Linked DNA regions of Alligator mississippiensis. The protein of the gene in region 2 purifies or fractionates together with the protein of the main gene of each other region. This does not show direct contact. Links are inferred from orthologs where the notes say so. Each region holds a gene or a part of one and is shown on either strand. Other genes may lie near its edges. The genes, in order: TCOF1, ARRB2 and NOLC1.

The links.
Region 1: the proteins of ARRB2 (region 2) and TCOF1 purify together in Homo sapiens (affinity purification with western blotting; 4 studies listed by BioGRID and IntAct, with this or other methods). This does not show direct contact. The link is inferred for Alligator mississippiensis from reciprocal best matches to the Homo sapiens genes ARRB2 and TCOF1.
Region 3: the proteins of ARRB2 (region 2) and NOLC1 purify together in Homo sapiens (affinity purification with mass spectrometry; 5 studies listed by BioGRID and IntAct, counting the BioPlex papers as one, with this or other methods). This does not show direct contact. The link is inferred for Alligator mississippiensis from reciprocal best matches to the Homo sapiens genes ARRB2 and NOLC1.

What each region holds. Positions count from the first base shown.
Region 1 is NC_081832.1:75,212,456-75,220,241, forward strand, and holds the start of TCOF1 (treacle protein), read left to right. Parts: upstream 1-4,734; 5' UTR 4,735-4,742; coding exon 4,743-4,904; intron 4,905-7,467; coding exon 7,468-7,523; intron 7,524-7,786.
Region 2 is NC_081838.1:23,720,479-23,728,100, forward strand, and holds the start of ARRB2 (beta-arrestin-2), read right to left. Parts: upstream 3,051-7,622; 5' UTR 2,957-3,050; coding exon 2,934-2,956; intron 1,646-2,933; coding exon 1,615-1,645; intron 1,219-1,614; coding exon 1,158-1,218; intron 1,061-1,157; coding exon 1,016-1,060; intron 788-1,015; coding exon 591-787; intron 518-590; coding exon 458-517; intron 352-457; coding exon 284-351; intron 12-283; coding exon 1-11. UniProt on the Homo sapiens protein: Functions in regulating agonist-mediated G-protein coupled receptor (GPCR) signaling by mediating both receptor desensitization and resensitization processes.
Region 3 is NC_081829.1:17,771,330-17,778,612, forward strand, and holds the start of NOLC1 (nucleolar and coiled-body phosphoprotein 1), read left to right. Parts: upstream 1-4,226; 5' UTR 4,227-4,260; coding exon 4,261-4,371; intron 4,372-4,467; coding exon 4,468-4,523; intron 4,524-7,283. UniProt on the Homo sapiens protein: Nucleolar protein that acts as a regulator of RNA polymerase I by connecting RNA polymerase I with enzymes responsible for ribosomal processing and modification.

The DNA.
Region 1 (7,786 bases), on a different chromosome or scaffold from region 2:
CAATTACAGAAATAAAAGTCTGAAGGGACTCGTCTGCTCGGACCTCCCGGCTACCACAGGCCTTTCAGCTTCACCCAAATACCTCGGGTCAAGCCCAAAGACACTGGTTGCATCAAGTATTTCCGACCTCAAGAAGCTGAACTTGGTGCCGCAGGTAAAGATCAAAAGAGACCAAAGGACAGCCAGGAATTGATTCCTTGAGATGCATCCAGGCGATCCTCAAAGGTAAGCCAGCAGGGGAAGAGGAACCTGCCCCATACAGCCTCCTGCTCCTCTGACCACTTCCATCCCAGCCCTGGATATGGTAACCAGTATGACCGTGAGCATGGGAGTGAGACAGACCAGCCAGGCATGGACTGGACTCTGTGCACCACCTCTGAGCCCTGTCTCCAGATTTAACCCAGAAAGGATATGATGTCCCCAACAGGCAGCCCCTTCCCCGCTGCGTCTGCACTGGAGAGAATGGCCCTGACCTGGTGCTGCCCTTCAGCCCAGCCAGGACGGGATTATTTCCAAAGGGCCTCCTTGCAAAGCATCGGTGGAGGGTCTTTGCTGGGTGGGCACTTCAGTCCTGCTGCACGGCTACCTAGCCATAGGCTATTTCTTTGCCCACCATCATGTGGTGACCTAGCCAGCTTTCTCGAGCTGAGCAGGGTCAGGGTGGGCCACCCCACCGGGCAGAGAGCGGGCGGGCGATTTATTCGGCGGCCCTCTTCCGTCTAGACGAGACCTAGCGGGTGCATGGGACACCACTGCCTGGAGAGGTCCGTTCACCGTCCTGTCTCCCCATGGCCCCTGTTGGTTGTTCAGAGGAGAAAGCAAAGCCTTAGGGGCACCTTGGGGTCTTTAGAAATCAAGTATATTCACTAAGGTCATAATCACAGTTATACAGAGATGCTGCATGCAGCGCTATAGAGCACTTGTACACGTCACGGCGCCAAAAATTGCCACTTTGCTAGGTTAGTCGTGTCTGAAAATACACCTTGACGTCTTTATCGTGGTAGAGCTCGATTTATCGGGGTAAATTAGACCACCTCCAACATGTTTTATTTTTTAGCGTGGCCAATTGTTACAGCAGGATTACTTTGCTCACGATACATAGAGACCGTGAAGCGAGATCCTTGACCCCGGCTGACTGCCACGTGCTGCTGCAGCTGGCCCTAATGCCCAAGTGTCCCTGCAGATCCTCCGATTTCTCTGCGTGGCTAAGCTGGCCCTGGATTTTGCAGCTGCCGCTCTGCCCAATAGATGTGGCCAACCACCTGGACCCAAATCCCCCCAAACTTGGGATGCAGGGTCACGGGGGGAGGTTGTAATGCAGATCTGAGCGGCTCAGGGAACAGCCCCCTATCTATGGTGCACATTTCCCGACTATAAGTACCTAATGTCAAGGATCCATTATTAAGCAAAGAAACTAAGCTGAACCTCGCTCAGCATTCGTGGTAAAGATGGGAGGAAAGCGTCCTCACAGGCCTACGGGTCCACAGACAAGTATCCATAGGAAATGCCAGCTTCCAGATGGCTGAGGAGCTGATTGACAGCAGCTTCCCAGTTTGCTAAATGCTCCCAAGCCGTGCTTTAGACGGGGCATGAGTGGAGTAATTCAGGATGGAATAGATGTGGGCGAGCTTTTCACAAACCGATAATCAAAGGCCTCTAAACCAGCAAGCAATGCACCCGGCTTGTGGAGCGCTGGACACGAACAGGCCTGCCTGGGCATAAGTGTCCTGAGCTGCCTATTAAATTACTACAGCTTTATCCTTGTCTGGATTTTAAAGAGCTTCCTGCAATCCTTTCATGACTCAGTGTCCTGGCATGGAAATCACATAGCTGAAAGGTTAGCTTTTCAAATCCACTGAGGATATTTCACCTTCCTAAAAATAAAGACCTGGCAAAATAGCTCCAAGCTCCTTCAAAAATGCATGAAAAAAAACCTCACCTTTTAATAACTGCATGCTGTTCGGGGAGTTTTGGTTTTTTTCCTCGGTGGGGTTTGGGCTAGGGAGGATTTTCCTATTTATAATTGTGCAGCTGTTTGCTTGGCTGAATCGCTCTATTTATTATACGCCCTGTTTACCTTCCTTACCTGTAACTGCGGCACGACAAAAAAATTCTTCAGATGCATTCGCTGGAGCGGGTTGTGTTACTACAGGTCCCGGCAGCGCCGCCGACTGAGCCGTGTTCAGGGCTCGAGCACGCGAGGGAGGCTCTGGACTGAAGTGACCCCGCACCGGAGCAGGATTGCTTGCTTGGAAAGAAAGCACCAATTTTTAAGCCTTTTTTATAGGGATGCTCTCCACACGTTGTTATCCCACCTGGACGGCTGTCTCACCTGCGTGGCCTTAATGCCATCCTTCTCTTTGCCCTCCCCACCTAGCCGGCTTGCTGCCCCCCTCCCATCTTGCTTTGCACCTATTAGGACTCCTGTTATTTTGTGTAGCTGAAATTCCTGGAAAAAGGAGCTGGGGATTGCAAAGAAGGAAGTGGGAATGGGGAACTTCATTGGCATGCAGGATACGGCTGGCGCAGGTGCCCGCAGCTTGCCCGGGGCTTCTCGAGCACGTTAATAGGAGAGAGGCAGCAAGAGCCCAGGCCAAGCTTGGGTCCAGAGAGGGCAGCGCTGGGCAAGTGAGACTCAGGGGCATCCAAACCCCAAGCCCCCGGGCTTGGGTCCGCACATAGGATGCCCACCAATGGATCTGGGAGCATCTGAAGCCACAGGCTGCAAAGTCTGGGGTGACAGATTCCTGCCGGTTGCAGAGCCACGTACGGTGTTTGAACGATAAAGCGCTGCTCAATCGAGAGGGTTCGGCCAGTTCGACCCAGAATGAGACAAATTTTCCAAAAAAAAAATTCTGAATGGTGTCGAGTGCAAGTCCTGCCCACGACTCCAGCCACCGGGACCCTCCAGCGGCGCTCATTTCCACAGTGCATTTTGCCTCCGTGGGCAGGCAGGCAGGGAGAATGAAGGGTGCTGCAAGCAGGCAGGGCATTACTTGTGACGTGGGACAACCCAAATCAGGGCCCACGACCGTCAAGGCCTTTAAGTGGGTCTAGGCAGGGCTGACCCGGCCTCGAGCACGGGGCTGAGCTAGAAGATCTCTTGTGGTGCCTCCCTGCCCTTATTCCAGGGCACACGTTGAGGTTAGTTGCATGGGACTCGCTGCCCCAGGGAGCATCTTGCCTGGGCACTGAAAGGGGAGCCTACAGTAGCTGCTGAGCACCGAAAAACCCCCGTCCGGAGCTTTTTGGAGAATCTAGGCCCCTTCCATGACTTGGGGTACATCGTCACTTCCCCCCTGTTCTCCCAGATGAGAGATGAGGATGAGTGGGCATGAAGATCTTTGAATGCTAAGGATTGCAGTAATCACCTGGAAGAGGCAAATTCTGCCCAGGGTGGGTGCTCTGTGGGGATATTTGCAGCAGACAGGCCTTTCTCAGCAGGAGGCAGCGAATGGACACCCCCTTTAGCGCGTCCAGGCTTCCTATGCAACTCGGTGAGAGCTGAAAACCTTGCATGGAAAACCTTGCATGACACATCTTGTTTTCTATCGTGAGCCTCGCATGTGGCCCTCCGCGCGGTTTTCGAAAAACAAGCTCCCGGCGTGTCGCAACATTACTTAAAAAAAGAAATCAAAGCAAAACAAACGGAAAGACTCCTGGAGGTATAAAAAACCCTTCCAGATGGGCCCGTGTCAAAGTAGGTCAAAATCTGCTCCTAAATATATGTGCAGCAGACAGTGGCCCTTTTAAGTCTCAGAGGCTGATTCTCATTTGCACCCGGGGTTTTAACGCTGGCGTAACCCCACGGACGTCCACGCCGGGTTGACCTTGGTGGGGTCTCTCTCCTTGGTCATAAAGCCACGGGCGCTGAAAACCTAACGCAGACTTGCCTGAAGGCCAGGCGGGTCCACGCTCTCCAGTTCATACTCAGCAACCGCCTGGATTTATATTGACGACGGGCGATCATTTGCACGAGCGCATATATTTATGTGTATCGATGATGCGCGATCGTTTGCATAACGATCACTCGCCCGGTGCAACGGCGCAGCTGTCGTGTTGCATTGGCTGCTGGAAGACGGCCCCGGGCCCGGGGCGCTCGCGCTCACCTTGACGGCTGAGGCTGTCGAAGGGGCTCGGTTTGGGAGCCAGCTGGCGCAGAGCCAGGCTTATATTTAATCTCGTCCATAAATACTAATAACGGTTGTGCGTTTGAGGGCGGGAGGGGTGCACGGTGCACAGCATTAAACCTTCCAAAAATAAACCTCTGCCGAAGTGAACGGAGCCCGGTTTTTCCTGGAAAGAAAAGAGACTCAGGGGTGGGGGCCGCCTCGCAGAGCCCACCCCCTGCCCAGACCCTCCGTTTCGGGGACTCCTAGGGCTGGCCGCGACCCCCGGCCCGCGTGAAGGAAAGCTGACCCTAAACCATCCCTGACCCGCGCTTCTTTGATCTCCTTTAGAAAACCTCCAACAACCACTCCTTGACTAAAAAGACATGCCAGCATGGAAACCTCTCGGCTCGGCGGTGAGACCCACTGAGGACGGGCAACCAAGCCAAGCCAAACCAAACCAGCAACTTCATGGTGTTTTCCGTCTCAGGACGCGGAGCAATGGGCTCGGGCTGCAGCGAGGGTAAGTGGAGGCGGGCGGGCGGAAGAACTACCCGCCCCACAAGGCCGCGCTGCCGGGAAGAGGAAGGGGGCGGCGCGGGCAAAGGGCGGCGGGCGGCGCGGCGCGGCGGCATGCGGGGCCGAGGCCGGGGCCGGGGCCAGGACCGGGACGCGGGCGGCGGCATGGCCGCGGCGGGGCCGCACCAGCGCGAGCTCCTCGCCTTCATCCACCACCACCTGCGCCAGGCCGGCTTCGCCCGCGCCGCCCGCGAGCTCCAGCGCCAGCTCGGACAGGTAAGGGCGCCCGGCCCGGCCCGGCCCGGCCCGGCCCCGCCGCGTGCGCTGCGCTGCGCTGCGCTGCGCTGCCAGGGGATCCCCGGCCTCCAGGCCAGCGCGGTGCAGTGCCCTGGCCTTCAGTGTGTTGTATGGCAGTGCCCTGGCCTTCAGGGCAGTGCATCGGGGTGCCCCGGACTTCAGGGCAGTGCATTGCAATGCCCTGGGCTTCAGTGTGTTGCATTGGGGTGCCCTGGCCTTCAGTGCAGTGCATGGGGGTGCCCTGGCCTTCAGTGTGTTGCATGGGGGTGCCCTGGCCTTCAGTGCAGTGCATGGGGGTGCCCTGGCCTTCAGTGTGTTGCATGGGGGTGCCCTGGCCTTCAGTGTGTTGCATGGGGGTGCCCTGGCCTTCAGTGCAGTGCATGGGGGTGCCCTGGCCTTCAGTGCAGTGCATGGGGGTGCCCTGGCCTTCAGTGCAGTGCATCGGGGTGCCCTGGCCTTCAGTGTGTTGTATTGCAGTGCCCTGGGCTTCAGTGCAGTGCATCGGGGTGCCCTGGCCTTCAGGGCATTGTATTGTAATGCCCTGGCCTTCAGCGCAGTGCCCCGGGCTTCAGTGTGTTGTATTGCAGTGCCCTGGGCATCAGGGCAGCGCATTGGGGTGCCCCGGGCGTCAATGCACTGGGTTGCCTTGGGTTTCAGTGCATGGCATTGCATAGACCAGTGGTTCTCAAACTTTTTTTCATGGACCACATGAAAATTGCTGAGGGTCTCAGCAGACCACTTAATAAAAATGTTTTTTGTTCTACAAATCAAAGCCCACAACTCATGTTTTAATATCGGTAGTCTGACCTTTAATGCAGTGGACGTGCCTGTTTTTATGAGCAAAGTTCCAGGAAGTCTAGTGTAATGTTTCAGCTTTAGTCTTAGGTCACCTTTCTGCGGACCACCGTTTGAGAACCTCTGCCGTAGACATTAGGGCTGGAAGGGACATTGCAAGATCATGGGATCCAGCCCCCTGCCCCAGGGGCAGGAAGTTTGCTGGGGTCAAATGATCCCAGTGAGATAAGCATCCAAGTGTGTCTTAAAGGGGTCCAGACTAGGTACTTGCACCACTTCTGGGGGAGAGTCTATTCCAGATTGTAGACCCGGATGGTAAAGAAGATTTTTCCAATGTCCAGCCTAAAACAGTCTTCCCAGAGGTTGCACTGGGTTTCAGTGCATTGCATTGGGTTGGGCTGGATATTAGGAAGAATTTTCTCACTAGGAGGGTGGTGAAGCACTGGGCCAAGTTACCCAGAGAGGTGGTGGAGTCTGCATGCTTGGAGGTGTTTAAGACCCGGGTTGACAAAGCCTTGTCTGGGATGCTGTAGTTGGGGCTGGCCCTGCTTGGAGCAGGGGGTTGAACTAGATGCGTCCTCCTGGGGTCCCTTCTAACCCTCGTTTTCTATGATTTCAGTGCACTGCATTGCACTGGATTTGATTGCATTGCATTTGCGGTGCTTCCTATACCTTCATCCCCCTGGCCCAGCCTGGGAGGAACCTCGTGGCCAGGCTGCAGCCCCCCCTGCTCCCCATGGCCACTGCTTCCAGCCTCTTGACAGGTCCCAACAATTGCTTGCTTGTGCTCCTGTGACTGCCCCGTGACGGGGTGGACGTGCTGCGGCTGCCTAGGCTATTCCTGCTGGATCCCCACTACCTCCAAATATAAGCCATGGTGCGTGGCGGGGAGGGAGCGAGGGCTGGGCTGGTGGTTTCTGTGTGATCTGGACCAGACGCCAGACTGATTGAATGGTTGCTCCAAGTAGGGCGCCCTTTTTCTTTTGGCGTCCGCGGTCCCATGGGAAAGTGAGAACTTTGCTTTAAAATAAAATGCTAGCTGGGAAAGGAGGCATCCTGAGCTTGGCCTTATTGCTGTATCTGCGCATGCGTGCAAGGGATGGAGGGGGAATTAATACCCATTCGACCTCAGCTGGTGAGTTAAACCGCTCCTGCCGACTTTTCATGAGGCTGTCTAGGGCTGCACGTGCTGACTGGCCTCTGTGCACGTAGCCAGAAGTGTGTTGGAAACCTCCAGTCGGCCTCCCCAGAAGCGGGCATCGTTGTCTTTAATGGGCTGGCTAGTGCAGGGCTGCAAAAGTCGAGGATGGAGAGCAGTAATTCGAACTCGGTCCCACTCAGAGATGCTGCGAACTGCCTTTAAACAGTGCTGCCAGGCACCTTAGTCCTGAGCGAAGCTGGTGGAGATCCCACGTGGCGCTGTTCCTAACCCACGGTGCCTTTTCTCCATGCAAACATCTGCAGTGTAGACCTGAGACTAGACCTTCCACGTAAATCCTTCTGCTGACAGTGGTGGAGCTCTCCCGAGTTGCATGGAGCAGCTGAGTCCTTCGACTTCCTTTGTATCGTGTTGGTAGTGGACCTTGAACTGAAACGATGGGGGCTGCAGTTCTGTTCGATGGTTTCTTAGTCATCTGCTGAGACCCCTTAAGTCATGTTTTTTGCAGTGTCTTTCCATCTGCTTCCTGCTTTCCCTTGCACCTTGATAAGAACTGGAATTAATGTTTCCTTTCTGTTTCTCCCGCAGAAAGAGTTTCCTTCGCTGCCGACCTCTCTCGAGGAGATCTTCACCCACTGGAAGAAGTAAGTCCGTCCAGTAGAAACCCTTATCAAAAAGGCTCCAACTCATTTTTCTCTCCCACCATAGCAGGAACCAAATTCGGCTGCCTTTGCGGTTTCTGCTCGCTGGGGTGGGCTGACTTACCGGAAATACTCTCGCTGCTGCAAGATGGAAATGTGGTTTGAACGATGGGGTCTTCTCCACTACCATGCCCTGCCTTCCGCATCTACAGCTGCTTAAAAGACAGCTCTCCTAGGGCATAAGAGTTAAATACTGTTCGGTCTGG
Region 2 (7,622 bases):
GCACCGAGTTCCTGGGTGAGGGGAGGAAAGGGGAGGGGCTGGGAGCCTGGACACCTAGGTTCATCCCCCCGCACCGAGCGCCGGTGCACCCCCTGGCCGGTCACACAAGCACTGGCCAATCACTCCCAGCCACTTCTGGGACCCACCCCCCAGCAGTGAGAGAAACCGTGGGGGGACCCCCCTGTTGGTGGGACTAGTCACGGGGAGGCATGTGTCCCCCCAACTAAGGTGAAAGCAGTTGCCCATGCTGGGAGGTGAGCAGGGGGGGATGGTAGCCCCTTACCTCTTGTGAATCTTTTCCTCCAAGGATTTGGCACAGAAAGCTCTGATCTCATAGTCGACCCCACAGGCCTGGAGGGGGAGACCCTGTTAATGTCAGTGCCCCTCACTCCCAACCTGCAGCCCCCTGCCCACCCAGGCCTGCGGGTGCCCCTCACTCCTGACCCACAGCCCCTACCTTGCCCGTGTCCTCAGGCCCTGGCTGTAGCGTCACCGAACATGGCAGATTGGGGGGTATCTGGGGGGGAGGCAGAAACAGTTAAACAGGGTGGTCCCTGGGGGCTGGTTTGGGGTTTGCGGAGGCCACTCACTTTGAAGGCGAAGGGGTGGGCTCGAGGGCCCAGCTTGCGCAGCAGACGGTCCTGCAGGCGGGTGGGGGTGAGTGGGGGGGATGCAGGGGGGGGCGCAGCCTGCAGTGCCTCCGAGAACAGGTCCTTGCGGAAGGACAGACCAAGAACGTCCAAGTCCTCGCGCCCATAGCGGAAAGCGCAGGTCAGCGTCACGAACACTGCGGGGTTGGGGTGGGGTCAGTGCAAGCCACACCGTCTTGGGGAACCCCAGGCCCCACGCCTTGGAGACCCCCCCAACCCCTCAGGCAATACCCCCACAACAAGATCTTCAGACCCCAAGCCCCACCCCCTTGGGACACCCCCCATCCCAGGAACCAAGGGATCACCCATCCATCAAGCCACACCCCCGAGGACACCTCCCCCCCATAGGTCCAGGCCATGCCCACCTTTCCGGTCCTTCAGGTATTCAGGGTCCACCAGCACCACGCCATCTGGGGGGAGGGGAAAAGGTGTAGGGGGGGTTGGACGAGCCCACCAACAGCCCACACTCCCGCAGACCCTTTTCCTGACCCCCCCAAACCAACTCACCCACGAGGTCCACGGAGTCCAGGTGGTCCACAAAGTCCCTTTTGCCCAGGTAGACAGTCAGCTGGTGGGGGGGGGGAAACGTGACAGGGGGAGCAGACCTCTCCCGACCCCAGAATTGCCCCCCAGCCCCCAACACCCCTGCCAGTGCCCCTTACTCCCAACCCACAGCCCCCCAAAACTGCCCTCCAGCTCCTGGTCCCCCCATTACAGGATCCCCCAGGTGCAAGGAGGGGGGATTAACCCCTCCTAGGCTGTGCTGGACTCACGAGCCACAGCCTGAATCTAACCCAGCCACAGCCCCTCCCCCGCACCTTGTGGCCAAGTTGGGGGGAGGGGGGGGGGAGGAAGGAAGATGGGCAGGGGTGGAAATGCTACAGGAAACCGAAGGGGGGGCGGGGGGGGCTGCGGTTCAGGAGTGAGGGGCACGCAGGGCTGGTGGAGGGCAGGGATCACTCACCTTGCAGTTAGGGCTCGACTTCTTGAAGACCCTGCAGAGGGGAGAATCACAGCCTCAGCCCCCGCAACATCCAGGGGATCAGACCTGATCTTTGACCTCCCCCCTGCTCTGCCCCCAGGCCCATAACCACCAAACTCCTAAAGATGGGCTTAGGCCTAGCTGGTTGCCACAGAAACATGAAGCCTGGGGGCATCTACAGAGGCCTGAGGGGGAGTCCAGGAGGAGCCTTAAGGGTGATGAGGAGCCTAGTCCTTGGGGGCAGGGGGCACCAGCAGGAGCTACAGGTCAGGAGTGAGGGGCACCAGGAGGGTTGGGGGGGCAGGGGCTGCAGGTCAGGAGTGAGGGACACAGGCAGGGCAGTGGGGGTAGGGAGGGGCCGTGGCTGTGACAGGACGTGCTGCTTCCTGTTTGTTTCTAGACGGGAAGTAGCACGGAGGATCCTCATGTCCGTCCATCCCCCACAATGGCCAACCTGCCCCCCACAACCCAGAACAGGACCCTGATCTGGGGGGCTGCAGTGCAATGATGCCCCCCACCCCACCACCAGCTGCAGCAGGGAACCCCGTTACACCTGGCCCTGTTCCACCCCAGAGGCAGCCGCACCTAGGACCTGTTCTACCCAGCCCCAACGCCCCACCCCAGAGCCAGCCGCACAGGGGACCCGTTATCCCTGCTCCCTGCAGTACCCTGGGGCTTGAACTGTGGAGTGGAGGGGGGTCACATCTCCTCTCCCCCTGCACCCTCCCACCCCCACCCAGCCCTTGCCAACTTCCGAATTAACGCTTGGCAATTTTCACTTCCTCTTTCTGGCCTGGAAGCCCCAAAAGGCTCAACTGCCTCATTAGCTGCAGCTTCCCTCCCCCAGCCCCAAAGGGTGTGGGGCAGGGGCTGCGGGTCAGGATTGAGGGGCACTGGCAGGGCTGGGGGGGCAGGAGCCTGCAGGTCGGGAGTATGGGGCACCCATGAGGCTTTGGGGGGCTGCAGATCAAGAGTGAAGGGCACTGGGCAGTAGGGGGCTGCGGGGCAGGAGTGAGGGGCACCGGCGGGGCCAGGGGTCTCCAGAGAACCCAGGCGTCCTGGTCTCTCTCGCCCCCCACAAAAAACGGACCCAGGCGTCCGGGGCCGGCGATGCCAGGCGCGGGCAGCTCCATCATTCCCCCTCCCCTCCCAGCCTGGCACGGCAGGACCCTGAGCCCAGATTAGCCGGGGAGCGGGGGGCGGACGCCGGAGGAGCGGAGGGGGTGGGCGCGGGAGGCTGGCCCGGACGCCGGGGCTCTCGCGGGGGGGGCGTCCAGACGCCTGGGGTCCCTGCCCCTCACCTGGTGCCCGCCTTCTCCCCCATGGCGCGGGGGGTCCTAGGCGGGCGGCGGGAGCCCCCGGCGCGGGCTGCAGGGAGTTGCGGACCCGAGTGGGGACATGGCAGGGGAGGGGGGGGCGGTCACGTGGGGGGGCGGGGCAGCCAATCACAGGGCGCGCGGGGGAGGAGGGGGGGACGTCAAGGGCGGGAGAGTTCCCCCCTCGCGTGCCCCAGGCGTAGTACACGCGTGTGCTTTGTACTTGTGCGTGTACATGCAGGCACATGTTTACACATGTAGTACACACGCGTGTGCACCTGCAACCACTCCACGCACACCTGCACGCATGTGCACAGGTCTGCACACACACACACATCCATGCGCATGGGGGTTGTGCAGATGCACACAGTTGCACGTTTTTGGGCGCACACAGGTGTGCCTGCGTCCCCCACGTGTATGGAAGCACACCAATGCAGAGCCGTCCACATGGGCAGTTGGGCCTGGATCCTCACACACATGCTTTGTTCTGGCCACAGGTCTCCACAGGCAGCCAAGTGTGTGTCTGTGTGTGTGTGTGCACGCATGTGCAAATGAGCCCCCACCTGCACACATGCACCCCCACCTGCACATGCACACACGTGTGCAAACAGGCCTGCAGACATACACACACGTGCAAACACACGTACACTGATCTGCATGCGCACACCTTTGAGCACAGATCTGCACACATATACCAAGATTTGTAGACACACACGGGTGAACTCCCACCATCCTCACATGCATGTGCACACAGCTGTGCATGGAGCTGCATGCACACATGCACACATTTTCATGCCCACATGCACATACACCCCACACATGCACCCATACACCCTCATACGTGCAAACATGACTGCACAGATCTCCACACCACCCTTGAGCACAGATCTGCACATGCACACATGCAAATTTTTAGACACATGTAAGTGAACTTGCATCTTACCCACACGCATGTGCACACAGCAGACAGTTGTGCATGGAGCTGCACACACGCACATCTTCATACCCAGTGCACATACATCCCCCCCCCACACACACACACACCTGTGCTTGGACACAACCGCACCCCTCTTGCACACAGCGCTGTGTTCACACCCGCGGCCCCTTGGCACACGCACACGCCCATACCCACGTCCGGCCACCACGGGGCGCTGGGGGCGGGCGTGACTCAACCCCAGCCAGGAACCTGCCTGTGGTTACGGGCCCGGGGGGACTGGCAGGATCCAGCTGACCCGAGACTGGGCAGAGCTGGGGGGCAAGGAGGGGACCCCTGGTCTGAACCAGTCTGTGCCCAGTGCTCTGGACGGGATCGTCTGGGCTGGTTTGGACAGGGCTGGGATTAACGAGGGCAGGCCTAACGACACAGCGGTCTCAGTGTAACGCAGAGGAGATTAGGTCACCTAGGCCCAGGACTATACGGACAGGGCATCTGTCCCCTAGCCCCAGGACTAAGGGTCTAAGTCTCTGCGAGAGGAGGGGCCTGGGGTGGGAGGAGGGGACTGGAGGCCCAGACCCTGGTTCTCGGTGGGGGACTGGGACCAGCGGGGCGGCTCAAGTCCCTTTACGACCCTCTTGCGGGGGATCATCCAATTTCTATGTGCCCATATGACCCAGCTCTGGGCCTTGTCACGTGACCCCTGTCCCCGCGCCCGGGAGCTCTGTGGGCCGTACCATTCTCCCCCGAAGTGTAAAAGGGAGCTTAGTTCCCCCGTATCCCGCTCCACCCCCTCCTCCGGTACAATCCGGCTCTTATAACCACCCCCGCCCCCAGAATGATGGGGGTGGGGGGAATTAGGGGCTTCGTCGAAGTGTCCCCATGAATAGCCCCCACCTTGAACAGAATGGAACCGTCCAGGCCCATCCCCTTCTCGTCGCTTTCCAGGGGTCGCCGCCAAGTGGTACCTCCCTCCCTCTGTTCCCCCCCTGCGCTCAGCTGCCGAATGGTAGCTGCCGCCTCTTATTTATTCCCCCCCCCCCCTCCCCCCGGACGATGATCTTCTGTTCTTGCCCCTCCCTGTCAAATGCTTCCCGGGAGCGGGCAGCAGCGGTTTTTGGTAATGGGGGCCCCTTGCTGGGAGCAGAGTCAGGTCCTTGGACCGACAAGAAGGGGGTTGGGGGGATCTAGCAGTCCCCTTTCTGTGGGGGGTCTGAGCCGCAGCTCTGGGGTGTTGCACCCCCCAAATCTGTCTCCCCCCCCCACGCTGGAGGTTTTTGTCTTGTGCAATGGAAGTGGACCCTGCAGCTGCCCTAGAGCCTCGGGTGTCTCATGGGGAGAAGATTGGCTCTATACTGGAGGGGGAGGGGAAGGGGAAGGATGGGGGTTGGCTATAGGGGTATTTGCTATATATAGAGGACCAGACTGGAGATGGTCTTCTTTATAGGAGAAAAGGATTGGGAGGTTGTCTGTCCACTAGGGAGCAGAGAGCGGGGGGGGGGGGCGGTTAGGTGCATTGTGGGTAGGTTGAAGTGGCTACACAGAAAGAGTAGGATGGAGAGGCTGGTTCTATGTTGGGGGGGGGGGAGGACTGGGCAGTTCTCAAGGGCTTTTCCACATCCATTGTGGGGTTGGCTATATTAGGGAGTAAGCATGCAGGGGTTGGATTTATGGTGGGGAAGAAGGAATTGAGATTCCCTCTATGGAGGGGGGGTTCTCAAGTGTGCTTCCCAGTGCATTAGGCCTTGGCTCTGTTGGGGTTGGCTTTATGGGTGGGTGGGGGGTGCAAAGGCTCTGGAGGGAGAGGTTCCCCAAGGGCTTTTCCAGCTGCATTGTGGGTAGGGGGGGGACTTGTCTCTAGAGGGGAAGTGATTGGTTGGCTGTATGGGGGGAGAGGGAGTTGGGCTTTCAGGTGCATTGTGGGTAAGGAGGGCATTTTAGGGGAAGGGGCTGATGCTAGGACAGTGAGGGTTGGGGGCACATTTAAATGAATGAGGGGTCCTCCATGCTGCCAAGAACAGCTGGTACCATTGAAACTCGAGGGGAGGGGGGTTGGATGTCCTTAACCATGGAAATGCAGGTGGCTGTGGCAGGCTAAAGCATCCGCCTGCACAAACGGGGACTAGAGTGTCCATCACAGTCAGCCCTAGTGGATCCAGGGGGCTAAAGTATCTGCTGCCACCACTGAGATTCTTTGAGGACAGTGGGGCTGGAGCACCCCACTCCTGGTTGGGCTGATGCAGTGGCCAAGGGCCATGACTTCAACCTGTTATCACAGTTGATCCCATGCAGTGGCTCAGTGGCGGAGACAGAAGAACGACAGAAACAGAAGGAAAAGAAACCCCAGTATTGTCAAACGTCTTTAGTTTATCTGTAAAAATCATGCATTTAAAACAAAAACATTGTATTTTTACCTCCATAAAAAACAATACCATTTGAAAATCAACCCTGACCCAAACCTCAATTGAACCGATGCAAAAATATATTATTTTACATACAGAATTTCCAGTTTTGTAAAACCAAATCTTGCTTCTGGAGCAAAGTGTGAAGCTGGTCGCTCAAACAGGAAATGTTGCAGTAGCGGAACAAACAATGATGCAGCCCAATTTACAAATGAAGTGGCAAAAAGTGCTCCTAAAAAAAGTCTGAGTAGCTCTGCAGCATAATGCCCAACACGTTTGCACAAGTCAGGTAAAGCAAGCACTAAGTCATGGTTAATAAAAGTCTGTTACAATAATTGTGCAGCTGCCCACAAAGACCTGGTGAGAGAACTCCAACATCCAGGCTCCCAGACCCCCCTGCCATCACACTCCAGCCCGCTCCCATCCAAGAGAACCAAGACATCTGGGCTCCCAGCTTCCTCCTTCCCACCCCAACGTGCCAGGGCTGAGTCCCCGGCAGCAGCCCAGCCCAGTCCCCACCCCCAGCCTGGGCTGCAGCAGCACCCAATGCTGCTAGGGGAAGGGAAACCCCCTGACTCATGGGGGGGTGGCAGCATGCAACAGAGCCCAGCTAGCTGGAAGAGACCCAGGCCCAGGTTACCCCCTGTCAAGAGACCACATTTGATACAGCTGATATCCAAAAGCAGGGGATGACCTGAGTGTCGCAGTGCCTCAGCCCTGCCTGGGACTCTTCCCTGGCTGCTGGGTGCCCCCCCCCCTTGTTGCCCCATGTGTCAAGGGGTTTTTAAGCCTCCCCCAGAGGCACTAGGTGCTGCTGCTAGCACCAATCCCGCAGGGTCCTGGCTAGAGGATCTTGCCCCTGCGCTTCCACCTCCAGGGGGGCACACAGCTTCAGAGCCAAGAGCAACCCCGCGGTGGCACCGAAGGGCCTCGACTGCATGCAGTGACCAAGGTTGATAAAAGGGTTCTCTAAGGTATGAGTGGGCTGGATGGCAGCAGGTCTGGCCTGCTCCGGCCTGGCTTCCCTCCAGGGCAGGGGTGACCAACCTAAGCCTGAGAAGGAGCCAGAATTTAGCAATGTACATTGCCAAAGAGCCACAGTAATATGTAATATGCAAGCAGTCATGTCACGTGACATAACGGCTATAGCAGCTGGTCACCGTGCTTGTGCAAAGGTTCAAGGAGATGCATATTAACTTTTGAAGAGCCGCACGTGGCCCCAGAGCCACCAGTTGGCCACCCCAGCTCTAGGGCCTGTCCCATACACTTCATTTCTATGAAATGCTGGGAGGGGTGTGGGGGGTTAACTTGAAAGTGTAGGGATGAGCTCATTTTGGA
Region 3 (7,283 bases), on a different chromosome or scaffold from region 2:
GGAGTTCCCAGAGCTCCAGAGAGGCACGTCAGTGACCTGTGCCAGGGGCAGGGTCCAAGCCACAGTAGTGCCCATGGGGCATATGAGTGTTTGAGCCCTTGCTAGAGGCTGAGTTCAAACCCCAGGCAGGCAGCAGCTAAGAGGTCTAAAGCCTGGTGAAAGAGGTGGCCTGAAGCTGGAAGGGCTAAAGGGTAGAGCCCAAGAGGGTGAAACCAAGTCCAGGGGCCCACAGCCTGAGATGGGGGAGCTAGAGACAGACTGAAGCTGGGAAGGCCAAGGCCAGAGACGCAAGACGGGTGAGACTAGGGCCAGGGGCCCCAAGCCCAAGAGGTCAAAACATAGTCCGAGAGGGTGAGTCAAGAGCTGGAGCCCAGAAGCCAGGTCCAGCACGATGGGCCTAGGCAGAGGAGCTAATGAAAGGAAAGGGGTAGCAGCCAGGAGGGTTGAAGCCCCAGCAAGAGTGGAGAGGTCTGAAAAAGACCAGACCTGACACTGATTGACTGATAACCTCCACGAGGCATGGGCATGGCTACAGAGGAGGACAAAGACCACAAAATTAGCCCTTAAGGCAACAGGTGCCCTGGAGGGAGCATGGGTGGATCAGAAGGGCCCACCTAGTGCCTGAGGGGCAGATTTGGGGACCAGGGGGGTCCAGGAGGGACCAACTGGCCAAGAAGGATGGATGAGGGTTCACTTGGAGACCCCAGGGTTCACTTGGAGACCCCAGGGAAGCCTCCATTTCACAAACCAACTCATTACATCAAGGTGTGGCAGGTGAGGGAAAAGGAAAGGGGCCCAGGGAGCCAGAGTGGGTGCAGGAGCTGCGCTGCCATCAGGGGATATCACAGCCACCCCTGGGGGCTCTATCCTGCTACAAGCACACAGAAGAATCAGCTAGTACAATCCCTATCTCCTCGAGAGAAGCTTTTATAAGCCAACAGTATCAACACAAGATCTTTCACAAGCACTCAGACGTTGTGGACTCTAACAATGAGTCCTTGTCCATTGACTGACAAAAGGGTGTTCAGGAAGGATGGCTTTAATGGGATCAGATCTAGTTTTGAGATATGTGGCTGCTTCTGGATGTAGAAGCTTTTGGAGATGGCAAAGTGAGGAAGACAGCCACACAGTGAGCTCAGCATATTTTGGATTTTCCCTGCTACTGGAGTGCAGGGTACACTGCTGCTGGGAGAGAAATCAGTATAACCATACCAAGCCCCCACTGCAGGATGTCTTATGTCTACCAAAGCAATCTCCTCCCCACATCAGCCCATTTAGAGTTATTTCTGCAGAACCCAATTCTTTGTGTTACAGTAATACATGCTGGACTGTGTTTCTTGTCAATAAGCGTATAAATACCAAATCCCTGTAGAATTTTATTTTTCCTGAAGATCCGTACACCATAGATATGTTTAAAATTTAAATTTAAAATTACAAAAGCAAGTGCTTCTTTGTTCAGTGCCAGGCTTGCTTTCTCTCTTTCTCTCTCTCTTTTAAATTTAAATCAAATCTTACATTTGCAAAAGAAGTAGAGGAGTTGGTGATACAGATTCAACAGTGTTGAGAGCTCCTCAAGAGAGAGCAGCACTCCTAAAATCTCAGATAATAGCACTGTAATAATGTCAAAGTCTAATAATGGCCTTATGGCCTGAAGTGCATCCCATTTCCTACCCATAATGTCCAACAACACAAGACTCTGAACCAAGATTGCAAGAGGACAGCCTGCCTCAATCCTATTGGAAACAGTGAGAGATCCTCTCATTAAACATAAGCTACTCATCTTCACTTATGAATCCCTTTGCAAACTATCCCTACCCTACCTATCCTCTCTCATTCTGCATCAAGAGGTCTATTTCCTCTGATCAACTCATGATGTTAGCTGCCATCAACCACTTGTTAGATTTTCAACCCAAGCCTTTCATCCTGCTCTCCATGCCTGGGACAGGCTCCCCATAATCATCTGCAGAATGACCATATTATTCAGTCTCAAGACCCTCATCAGGATTCTCCTTTGCCCTGATTTCAAGGAAACTGTACGGATAATGAGTAGGCTGCCAAAACTGTTGCCTCCCATGGTGCCTGGTATTCTCATTTTATTCCCTTGCGTTCCTCCATCTGTCTGTCTTCATCTGTCACTGCCTTATGCTTCACTCACAAGCTCTCTGTGTACAGGTGGTCTTCCTGCTCTGGAGGTACAGCACCGAGCACCCCTGGATGCTGACTGGTGACTGGGGCTGCTGGGTGCTACAGTAACAGGCCTCATTTCAGTGCCTGCAGAGGCCCCCAGCCAGGCCCCACCAAGCTCCCCTGCAAAGCCTCCTCTCAGCTCAACAAGGTCCTTTTCCCCAGCTGAGGACTCCCGGGTGGCCCACCACAGCCCCGGGGCAGCCGCAGGAGCTTAAGGGGGGCATGTATGGACAGGGCTCTGGCCTGGATCTTTGCCACTTGTTGGCTTTGCCTCATGCTCCCGCCTTTGCCTTTGGGGAGGTGCCTGCATCCGAGTCTGATGGCAGCACCTAGAGCAGGGGTGCAAGCTGCGCAGGATGCAGCTCCACTGGAAAGGCCATGGGCGCCTTGCTTCTTGCCTCCAGCCATTCTTTGATGGCAGGGCCCCACTGGACCCCAGGCAGGGCAGGACAAGCCCTGTGGGGTCCCCATGCATTTCTCTTGTGAGTCCCTCGCGGATCTATCATGGTGTGACCCCTGAGGGGCTCTTCAGGGGTGGAGGAAGACTCACTGCTTTAGAAGCCCACCCCGGCAAGGCCAGGCCAGGCCCAAGGGTCTGGCAGCCCCAAGAAGGGCACCAGGGCTGGCACATCGGGTTTAAGGGTTTGAAGGAATGAAATGATCAAATTTGAAATTATCACATTTGCTGAAAAACGATTGTACACTGAAAACGTATGCAAATAAGTATGCAAATAATTATTTTTATTGACTTTATATTGCTTCTCACTTTAAGTCGCCAGTGAGTGAGTGAGAACAAGTTGACGCGTTTGTTTATTTCGAGGACAGCTGTCACAAGACAGTGCTGACAGCAACCTCGGCAGTCGGTTACGACTCTGCCCCGCCTGAGGCTGACCTGATGCAGGCAGGCAGAAACATGCGACCGTCTCTTCTGGGACTGCCCACACGCCAGGGAGGTGGGAAGAAAGTCTGTGCGCTCGTCCTGGTGGTGGGAGGTTTCAGAGACCTGACCAGGGAAGAGGTTCTTACGGGCACTTGACCATGGGCGACTTGTGCCCCGCTTGTGACCAGTCCCGCTGACTGGGGGGTACCCCCGCAGCCGGGGAAGATCCCCACAGCCGATCCCGGAATGGCCGATCGCTGCGACCTATAGCCGCAGCCGCTTCCGGGAGTGACTGCAGCGATCAGCCGGCGCTTGCAGGGGGGCACCGGCACTCCCACCTGCCCATCGCCTAAGCGGCAAGTGCTGCCGGTCGGGGGGTGCACCGGCGCTCTCAGGGGGTGCATGTGCTCCCCCGTGCACCGCCTATGCCACTGCACCTGCCCAGACAGCACGGGGCCCCGACCAGTTCTTTGCCTGCTTCAGGTGGGCACTGTGCAAAACCAGCTACCTGCTCACAGACTGACACTTGGACCCCACAGTTGAGGACTGTATTAAAAAAGGACAAAGTGAAATGTACTGGTACTACAGAAAGACACAAGAGGATGACAGGAAAGAAATGGCAGACCTCATCTGGTGGAGAGGGGCCTGGCATAGACATTTTCAGAATTAGCGCCTCTGGGTGGGGCAGTGGGCGCGGGGACGGGTATAGGGACGGGTGCGCGGTCACGCGGTGCGAACCGTGTAATGGGTTTTCAGTGTGCTGCGCTGCCAGTGAACTTGGCAGACTGTTGGAGGTGGAGTTATTTATTTATTTATTTATTTATATAGAAGTATTTTTGCAAAAAAAAAAAAAGTGGGTTAAAACTCTCCGAGTGACTTGGGTTCTGCACATCCTGCATCAATTCGCTGCCTCAAAAAATGACCCTACATGTTGAACACCGTGGCTATCATTGACCGTACATTGTGCCGGGGTTGTGCAAACACCATAACCATAGCGCCCCCGGACGGCTGGGCTGCCCGGCGCACGCGCAGTGCGGCCGCCCGACGCCAGGTGGCGCCAGCAGCTGCCGAGCAGCGCTGCCCGACCTCAAGATGGCGGCCGCGCTCCGCCCGCCCCTGCCGGCGGCCTGGCCCCCGACCCCTGACCTCCGACCCCTACCGCGGAGGCGGGCGGTACACGTGGTGGCGGCAGCATGGCGGGTCGGCGCGTGGTGCCCAGCGACCTGCTGCCCCTCGTGTTGGGCTTTCTGCGGCAGCACCGCTTCGACCGCGCCGCGCGCGCCTTCGCCCGGGAGGCCGGAGTGGTGCGGGCCGGGCTGGGCCGGGTCGGGGGGCGGTCGGGCCGGAGGGTCTGGGGGTCTGGGCCGGGCCCGCGCTGACGCCCGTGTGTGCTCTTGCAGGCGGACCAGGACCCCAACGCCGCCTCGCTGCTCGACGTCTTCGACCACTGGCTCAAGTGAGTGCCGGCGGGGCCAGGTGCGGCCGGGCTGGGGGCCGGGCCGCCGCCCTCCTTCCCCTCCCCACCCCCGGGTCGGTCCGTGGGGGGAGGGTCCCGCTCGCGGGCTTGGATGGGGGAGACGCCTTGCTCCAGCTGGGAAGTGAGTGCTTCCTCCAGCCAGCCATGCCTGGACAGCCAACACCAAGGGCCAGCGAGTGGTGCATGAGTTTGTGACTGGGAGTGCATGGACCAGACGAGTTCAGCTCAGATGCAGCTGCCGCTCCTGAGCGTAAAACACAAATGCTGTCGTGGGTTGGCGTAAGCCTTTCTGAAACACTAGGTTTCACCATAACCCTCTGTTTAAGTCAGGGGTGGCCAGCCTGCAGCATGTGTGCCACACGTGGCACAAGCAGTCTGCGCATGGCACGCGGCAGATCAAGGAGGGGGCTGCAGCCCCCGGCAGGGAGGGCAGAAAGCAGAGCAGCAGGTCATGCCGCCGGAGGGGGGTTGGAGTGGCACTCAGGGAGGGTACGGGGCTTAATTTGTGACGCATCTGCCAGAACGGTTGGCCCCGCTGATTTATGAATCCAGAACAGACAGTTAAGCGTGTTTCAGCCCCATGAAAAAGACAATGCAATAGAAAGGGGGTTGGGCTCAGGGCATCTGTATGTTCTTCAGAGGGTTACGTGTTTTGAGCTTGGGAATCCTCACTGCTTTCATGGAGAAACTCCTACTCTAGAGTCAAACTCTTTCTAGCGTTTCTGGTCAGAAAGTACCATACTTACTCAAATCTGAGATGAGGTCATTTTCCCCATTCAACAGAGGTGGGGGGTAAATTTGAGAACAAGATGGAGCAGTAGGTAGCTGCTGTGGCTCTAGCCCTGACCCAGAGTCAGAGCTTCCGTCTCTGCCCCATGCCAGTCTACCCCTTTGCGTCCCTCTTCCCCCTCTGGCTGCTGTTACTTACCTGGGGTCCTGGCTTTGGCCTAGAGCACAGAGCACATGCTATCTCCAGGCTCTACCTGGGATGGCAGCTGCTGCAAGTGTTGGCAGCTCTAGTGCTGACTCAGGGCTGGGGCAGGTCCATAGCTGCTGCTTCTGAGCCAAGCAGGGGCCAGAACTGGCATGTTCCCTGGGTCAGAGCAGGACTGGACTTGGACCCAGACCTGGAGCCACAACCTGGGGTAAGTGGTGGTGGCAGGGGGGAAGGCGAAGGCAAATGGTAGGAAGAGGCTGGGACTAGAGAGGGAGCTAAGTGCCAAGGGGGGCAGGCACCAGGGAGGCAGTAAGTGCTAGGGGGGCAGGTGCCAGGTGATGCAGGCACAGGGAGCATGAGGTGGGAGACAAGCTGCGTATCTCCTTGTCACTACTTGCCCCCCTGCTGCTGTTTTCCCTGTCACAGCAATGGTAGGGACACACTTAAGACAACCCACCCAAGAATTAGATTCTGCGCATGGAAAATTGTAAAAAGTTAATATATAGAATCTAATTATTAGGTATTTGTCTTACATTCTAAGTTGTCTTGTATTGAGATAAAAATGGCAGAGAGTCGAGCTGCACTCAGATCTCCAGTACCACAAGTGTCAGAGCAGGAGCAGAGAATACCCTGACACAGCCACTCCTTTATCTTGTGAGGAGTTTGGATCAGTTTTTTTTAAGTTCCCCCAGTTTCTGCTTCTGCTCTACCTAGCTCCCCAGTCATGCTGCTTCTGGGGTTGTTTTGCTTACTTTTCTTGGGTTTTTTTGTTTCTTTTTAAGCACAGGTGTGTGTTTGTAGATCCTAGGACAGTGGCTCCCAACCTCAGGTCATGACCCAAATCAGGGTCGCAGGAGGTCTGCCCTTCATTCCACCTCTTCTGCCTGCGGGGCTGTCCCGGTGCACAGTCCATGCGGCTCTCGCTGCCGCTGCCCCCCACAATCCTAGCCCAGCCCAGGCTTTACTGGCACCACCGGGCATGAGTGAGTTGGGGGCAGGGTTCACGATCTGGATTTGGGGTTGCTGCAAAAAAAGGTTGGGAGCCACTGCCCTAGGAGTCCCTTGAACAGGGTTGTTCTGTGTTGATTTTGTTCGGGTGGCAGTCTGACCCCTGATCTGAAGGACAGTGTTTTGCATTAGAGGTGCACCGATACATTGGTCCGATATCGGATCAGCACTGATGTAAAGAAAAGGCCCCTGTGGTGAGGGAGGGAGTAAGGAAGGAGCTAGGGTAGGTGCTGCCTGGCGGGGGGCGGGACAGAACCACAACTCGTCCAGGCATAGTGGGGCAGGGGCGTGGCTCCTGGTGATGCATGCACCCTGGGGGGGAGGGGTGGCATGTGCCCCTGGATCTGCGTGGGGTGCAGGTTAGGCTGCATCTGCAGGCTGCGGCTGGGGTTGTGCCAGGCTCTTCCTGGCAGAAGGGGGGGTGGCGGTGCTGGGAGGATGGGCTATGGGGGGGCTATGGTGAAATTTGGGCGGGGGCTGCAGCCCTCTCCCCATAGTCCCCCTCTCAGCACTGCCACCCACCCTGAGTGCGGCCCCAGCCTGCAGCTGCAGCCTGCCCCACACAGGTCTGGGGGGCACACGTGCACACACCCCACCCCAGGATGCGCGCAGCAGCAGGAGCTGCTCCATGCCCCACCCCCCTGGACAAACCATGGCTCCATCCTGCGCCTTGCCCCGGCTTGGCAACGCCTGCCCCAGCACTGCTTCTTCAGTGCAGGGGACTTGATCTCCCCCCACACTCCTTCCCTTCCCCCTCCCCTTCCACCACAACAGACTTACCACCTACATGCAGC